Linked DNA regions of Schizosaccharomyces pombe. The main gene of each other region encodes a partner of the protein of the gene in region 2 in a complex. Each region holds a gene or a part of one and is shown on either strand. Other genes may lie near its edges.

What was found. Proteins that work in one complex are often made in the same cells at the same time.
Region 1: dad5 (region 2) and dad3 share a complex: the UniProt entries of both Schizosaccharomyces pombe proteins name them as parts of the DASH complex.

The regions. Positions count from the first base shown.
Region 1 is NC_003424.3:5,227,760-5,231,515, reverse strand, and holds dad3 (DASH complex subunit Dad3), read right to left. Parts: upstream 1,718-3,756; 5' UTR 1,691-1,717; coding exon 1,613-1,690; intron 1,576-1,612; coding exon 1,393-1,575; 3' UTR 616-1,392; downstream 1-615. Other genes in the region: mek1 (meiosis-specific serine/threonine protein kinase), read right to left, coding at 1-179, 220-376; Smc5-6 complex SMC P-loop ATPase subunit Smc5, read left to right, coding at 1,763-1,815, 1,884-2,049, 2,099-3,756. UniProt on the Schizosaccharomyces pombe protein: Component of the DASH complex that connects microtubules with kinetochores and couples microtubule depolymerisation to chromosome movement; it is involved in retrieving kinetochores to the spindle poles before their re-orientation on the spindle in early mitosis and allows microtubule depolymerization to pull chromosomes apart and resist detachment during anaphase.
Region 2 is NC_003421.2:1,669,422-1,672,996, reverse strand, and holds dad5 (DASH complex subunit Dad5), read left to right. Parts: upstream 1-2,134; 5' UTR 2,135-2,391; coding exon 2,392-2,676; 3' UTR 2,677-3,053; downstream 3,054-3,575. Other genes in the region: SPOM_SPCC417.03 (uncharacterized protein), read right to left, coding at 633-754, 946-994. UniProt on the Schizosaccharomyces pombe protein: Component of the DASH complex that connects microtubules with kinetochores and couples microtubule depolymerisation to chromosome movement; it is involved in retrieving kinetochores to the spindle poles before their re-orientation on the spindle in early mitosis and allows microtubule depolymerization to pull chromosomes apart and resist detachment during anaphase.

The sequences.
Region 1 (3,756 bases), on a different chromosome or scaffold from region 2:
ATTTAAGAATGTTCCATTAGAGCTCTGATCTTCACAATAAACAAGGGGATCCATATCATCATCGATTAGCACCGAATACACTCTAAAGTGCTTATAACTGGCAGTGAATTGCAGAAGCTGATAATTGCATGTATTACTCCTTCCAACAGAAACGTCTTCATATTTCTTAACATTCAGTACTAATATATGTCAAAAATCAATTGAAACAAGAGAACACACCTGTTTGTGGAGAAGATGATGAAAAAACAAACAATCGAGCGAGAACATCATCTTCAGTATATTGAGGATCCATAGTACTTTCGTCTATTTGACTCAATTCACAAAGAATTTGCGTTGATTCAGATCGACTAAGCATGGCATGTGATAAAAAGTCCATAGTTCTTGCTTTTTTTTATATACACTTTGCAAAACGGTGATGCGCGTAAGCAATAAATATATATATACTTTGTAAGACGCGCCTATCAAAACGTAAAAGCAGTGTCTATAACGGTATAAAGACAATACCCATTATTATTACGTTATACCACTATAAACCAAAGTCATTTGGTAATGCCAAAACATACACTTGCCAATATTTTGAAGGATTGGGCTTGACACTATTAAGTATATTAATAAAATATGAACCTCATTGCTTATCAAATATAGTAAATTATGAGAATCCATATTAGTACAAACAGAAGAAACTTTGGATTTCAATCTCGAAGAGAGTTGCTGGCATTTAAATGATTTTTAGTCAAATGCAAGCAGAAGAAAATTTCTCGCTGTATTCACTTTAATGATCCGAGGACAAAAACGAGTCCCAATTGTAAGTTGCTCTTCATAACGAAGAAATTTGAGTATGAATAACCATTACGGTTAGAAAAAAACAAGGAAGGAAACTTATTATTTGATTAAGAAATCAACAGCTTACAACATTGCAGATTCTCATGCAACCCCATTTTCATAACGCTTTTAGGAAAGCTTGAAAACACTTTCGAATCCAGCATGATCTAATAAAATGTTAACAGGCAATTAATCGGAAGATTCATTAGGTCAGTGTTTCCGGGGTAATAGTTTAGAAATATTTAAGGCCGGACTACTTCCAAAGGGTTGTTTTGGATAATTGATTAAAAGTGATCTAACCAACTTTTTAAAAACAATACCCATATTCGTTTCTTGGACATTTTAGCCGAAAAGTGCTTTTTAAAAACCTTCATAAGCTTATATCTTGTGCCTGTTTTTACTCTTCCAAGTAGGATGTATTTTTTTCTCTGTAAAAGTGATTGAAAAATTATCCGGTAAATATTCAGTTCCAAATATTCATAGTAAACCACACGAAAAGCACCAACAGTAGAGTTAAAGCTTAATTTATAGTTCGGTTTGACGTATTTTCAATTTCAAACAAGCACGTTATCAACTTTCATCTTGAAACATGCCGCTTTTACCTTCTTGGTTATTTTCTAGGTCTGCCAAAATCGCCCAAACACTAGCTTTGTAAAGAGTATATACAAGTCCAACCTCCTTTTCTAAATCCCTTAGCGAGTCCAGAATATTGTTGCTGGGATTATAAACCATGTCCTGTAACACCTTAACAAGCTAAATATTAACCAACTGCTGAATAAAAAAGACTTACTGTTTCTAAATTTGATGCAAGATTAGCATATTCAGCTAAAATTTGATTCTGGAGAGCTCTTTTTTCCTCTAAACTCATTGTACCTTGCCTTGCATAAGCACTTTGCTCTCAGCAAACTCCTAGTTGACTGAAATCCTCCTTACTTCCACCATGGATGGCCTTAGGCCTTCGAAACGAAGAAAAAGTAATCCTTTGTATTCAGAGTAAGTTATAGCTTTTTTCTATTTAGTATTTCTGCTTTTTATACTTCGATGATCTTAACACGCGAGAGTTACGCGTTAGGAAGTATTGTACGAATTAAATTAGTGAACTTTGTTACATACGATTATTGTGAACTGTTCCCTGGTCCATATCTAAATTTGATTATCGGTCCAAATGGGACAGGTAAGAGCACAATTGTTTCAGCAATATGCATTGGGCTGGGATGGCCCCCAAAAGTAAGTCTTTCAATATTATAAAAAATAACTTAATTGATTAACGATTTAGCTACTTGGGAGAGCTAAAGAGGCCCGTGAATTTATAAAGTATGGCAAAAACACTGCAACCATAGAAATTGAAATGAAGTATCGTGACGATGAAACGGTTACTATCACGAGACAAATAAGCCAGGATAAGAGTAGTTCTTTCTCTATTAATAGGGAAGCATGTGCCACTTCTTCAATAACGTCTCTAATGGATACTTTCAATGTACAATTGAATAATCTTTGTCATTTTTTACCACAAGACCGTGTTGCAGAATTCGCTCAGCTTGATCCTTATTCTAGACTGATGGAAACTGAGCGTGCAATTGACCATGAAGGGTTACTTCCCGCACATGAGAAGCTTATTGATTTACGAAAACGAGAAAGGGAAATTTTACAAAATAAAAACCAAGGACAATCAACATTAAATTCATTAAAAGATAGACAACAGGCACTAGAGAAGGAAGTCAATATATTTAAAGAACGGGAAAAAATCAAATCATACATCGAAATGCTAGGGTTAGCTAAAATGTTAGTTATATACAGAGAGAAAACCAATGTCTTTAACCAACTTCGTGCAGACAAAAAAAAATTAAAAAAGGATTTGAAAGACCTAGTGGAAGAATTTCAACCTATTTTGGATAAAGGTGAAGAGCTGCGTTCGGATTTAAAACTAAAAGATGATACATTTAACGATTACTCCTCCGCTTCGATGGAACTTAATACCTCAAATTTAAGAGCCAGAGCTTCTTTTTCGAATTTCATGGAGAACGAGAAAAAGCTTTATGAGAAGGTTAATACCAATCGAACACTTTTACGGAATGCAAATCTTACATTAAATGAAGCACAACAATCGGTGAAGTCATTAACAGAAAGACAAGGCCCAAGACCTTCGGATAACGGTGTTCAAGATCTACAAGAAAAGATGCAAGAAGTTAATGCGGAAAAACTTCAACATGAAAACGAGAAACTTGAGAGCTCTCATGAACTAGGTAGTATCAGAACATTGAAAGCACAAAAGCTTATTGACCTTGATAACATTAAAAGAGAGTTGTCCTACTACAACGATGCTACGAAAAGGAAACTAGACTTTATGTCTTCTGCTCCAGGCTGGGAAGATGCTTATCAGACGTATCAGTTATTGAAGGAATACGAATCTGCGTTTGAAGCACCCGCATACGGCCCAATTTATATGAATTTGAAATGTAAGGAAAAAGGGTTTGCAGCTTTGATAGAAGGGTTTTTTCGCACGGATACGTTTCGAACATTTATAATGTCAAATTATAATGATTATCTAAAGTTAATGGATCTTATCACTTCAAAAACTAAGTACACTCCTACTATAAGAGAATTCTCCAGTGAACGAAAAAAGAAGATAGAAGATTTTGAACCTCCATGCTCTCGTGAGAAGCTTCAGTCTTTCGGGTTTGACGGATATGTGATCGATTTTTTAGAGGGGCCAGAAGTGGTTTTGGTTGCTTTGTGCCATATGTTAAAAATTCATCAAATTCCGATTGCAAAAAGGGAACTACCTCCCGCATCAGTGAATGCGTTAAACAATTTTCGTCTGGCTAACGGGGATCCAGTTCTTAAAACTTACTTGGCGGGCTCATCTATCCACTTGGTTTTTCGTTCAGCTTACGGTGATAGAGAAATTACTAGGCGAACAGACCCATTACCTTC
Region 2 (3,575 bases):
CATCCGTTCTCATTATCAAGAAATACTGCGGTACTGGTGCGAGGGTAGATGATTATCAAGGTAGGATGAAAATCCGCTCCACAAAGTTGTTAGTGATAAGTGGTAAAAGACGGTATGTGTTTGAGGTAACCATAATCGCCAAGATAGACAAGATGCAAGTGGAGCATTGTCGGCGTTAAAGTTAGTATTTTGATTTGTTTGAGCTATCAACATGAGTAAGTGTGCGGCGGCAGGCGAGTCGCAAAAGGAAAAAAAAAAGCCTTCATTTAGTTATCAGAGCATCGCCGACGTATACCTTTTTTCCATTGATAAATTTGTGTTAGTCAGTGCAGTTGTTCAACACAATCGGTCCTCCGTTTATCGGTAGCTCTTTTTTGCACTTTGACAAAGCACAAAATTCGTTTACATGCAATCATCTATTACGGATGTAAATGTCCGTCATAATCAAAGGAATGCCAACAACGCCAAGTGAAAGCGAGATGAGTTGGGAAAATAGGATCGCAATTTGACATTCCTACGTCTTCCTACGTCTTTCTTGGAATGAAGTAATCAACTCTTCGTAAATTAGCAGGGACGAGGAAAATATGCGACTGTTATCATTTTTAGCGCAATAAGGATAAGAAATGAGTGATTTAGGAAATAAGCAACTGGGAGATATCCATTATCACTTCCATAAGCGATAATGATAAACCGCAGGAAAAACACGTGTGAGCATGAAAAAGGGTATATATACATAGACGGAAAGGGGCTTCATCTTTTCTTTTTCTTTTGTTAGGGGCGTGGTGAATGGAAGTATTTCTTTGTTTTATGGGGAAGCGTACAAAATTGTGAAACGAAACGATGTATGTGTATGGAGTGTAGGAGTCATTCATTTTCATGAAAGAAACTATAATAAAAATGGGGTATATGATTAGAAAGGGATGAGTGAATGTTTGAAAAAATTACTTATAAAATGGTAATGAATATGATTAGAAAAAGCGGTATGAGGAAGCATGGTTACTAAATGAACCAACTTGATTATATAAAAAAAAAGAAACAAATTAAAAACTAATTTTCATCTAACTCAGGAATTCCTCCTTTGAAAATAGCCAAACATTAACTAAAAAAATTAAAAAAAAAAAAAGTAGAAAAAAAATGTAAATATTACAAATACTTCCCAAACTCCCATAAAGCATTCTATGACGATTTCCTTACACCAAGCAATTTTCCTGTTGGATTTTATTTGTCTCGACTGGTTTGTGTATCCCTGTTTCCTTTCTTTTGTTTCCAAGAGAATCATTTCCAGGGAATTGATACATTTGTCCATGCTAAGATAAAATCCATTGTTCGGTCAACTCACTTCCGATATATCTGAAACGAAAAAACAAAACCTGATTAGAAAAGCTATATGTTTTCACATATAAGAAGACTATATGTCAAACCCCATCCTAGCGTCGATATGAAATGGAACTCTGTGAAATGATAGATGTGGGGGACCTAAAAGATAAACCCCAGTGTAGTGAAATCTCGATGCTTTTGAAACTGAATAAAACCCGAGGATATTAAGACAAGTAGTTTATTAAAAAAAAAGGTTTTCCGATCGTAGTTGAGTAAAGTTTGAAAATTCAAACAATAATTAAAACAACGGATGCACATCACGCTGCTGCGTCTTCTCTTGCACGGACATTGACTTCCGTATGTAATTTGTCTAACGATCGTGCTCTTTCCATTTCTTTTTTCCTTTAAAATACTCATTTGCCTATCTTCCTCATAAGATGCCTAGCATGTCGAGCTTACGGAGAATTTTTATTTCCTTTGATTTGGACAAAGCACCTCATCCAACATGATTGTGATCGGAGCTTTGGAGCACTTTTCATCAGTTCCGTCTTCATCCTCCTTCTACACTTCCATGGAAATTATGCAAAACTTGATAATTCCATCCTTACCAATAATTTTGCCTATTTCCACGGAACTGACCCGAAAAATTTAGCAAAAGGAACGATTTCGGTATTACTTATTAGCTTGGAAATTATGTCTCGCTAAACCATATAACGAAAGTTTGGTTTTTTATCAGTAAGCGAAAAATTTACCGTCCCCCTTTTCCTTCTTGTCAGCTACATAAAAGATAGGTGCGCTGCGCTGGTCGCCTTTTTCTGCCACTCTTTCCACGCTATTTTACGCTCTTATTCATTTTTGAGGAATACTAACGTCGGCCGGTATTGTTGGAAATCGCTGCAATTTGTTAAATTGAAATACCACTCAAGTGGGTAATGGTCTCCTTTAATTGTCGATACTGAAGGTTGATTGCATTTTAGTGCGGTGTCTTAAAAGCTGCACTCGCCCATCACACACGCGTTTGGTTTGTTTACCTTCCATCTACCTGTCTGCCTTCTTTCACTTTCACCTTACACCATGCGTCGTTCTACCATTGTGCCAACTAGTCGAACAAGCAGTTCATCTCCATCTCCCAGTCAAATGAAAAGCTTTCAAATGAATCGTTTGGTGGACCAACTGTCCAAGTTGCAATCCAACATGTCTCATTTGGAAAACCACTTACATGTTACCGCAATTCAAGCAGAAGCCATCCGACGTCTTGGTGCTCTTCAGGCCTCGCTTCTGATGGCGTCTGGTCGCGTTATGTCCGAAGCGAGGATTCAAAAGTCTTCAGATGCTGTGGAAGAAGACGTTCCTATGTGAGTCTCCAACTTTTTTGATGCAGACCTCAAATGACAATGATAAAAAGGAGAATACAAGAGACAAAGTGCCCCAATGAAGGAGAAATATAACAGGAAAGGAAGTAGGAATGTGCTCTTTCTTAATTAGATGGGGCTATTTCTTATTTTACTGCAACAATGCGGTATTTGGGGCTTCTTTCAATATGTGGGTGTTGGAGTTGTATCAACTATGCATCCGGAATACGGCTTTTCGGCATTTTACGCTATGGGAGTTTTGCGACTCTCGGGCTGCACTCCCGAAACCTATGTTACTGCATTGTACGATGCAGTTCTGTAAAAAATAGCAGGCTAAAAGAGGGTGTTCTAGTTCGTCTAATAAGTGATCTCGTTCATTGGTCAGCTCGGTCGGCTAAGTAACCAAGGGAAACTGCAAAAATTGGATACCAGAAATGATTGGTCAATTGCGCTTCACAAAACAGTCAGTGTACCAATCATATGGTTTTTATTTGAGATAGCGCACAATCATTGGATAGCTAGCTAAAAAAAGGTAAAAGTGGTTCCTTTCGTTAGGCTTCTTTATTTTCACCTTACGATTTACCGAAGAGAGCTTCTTCGACCTCGCTTAGATGGGTGTGAACAACGCCGTCCCTTTGCCAACCTCAACGAAAAAAGAAAAGCAGGTTGTACTAATTTTAAACGTTTCAAACGATTTTGTAAATTGATTTCTTTAAGCTTTGGCTCCTCCTTATTACATACCTAATCAATAAATATCTGTTTTCTTTTGCAGTTTCTTCTTTTTTTGCTCTCTTCCAGGGAAAACGGAAATTTGATTTGAGGAAGCCATAGCGCCACCATTCCCCAATCTGTCTACAAATTACTTTTTTTTGTTCCACCACACCTCTGGATTGTATTCTAGCTTAT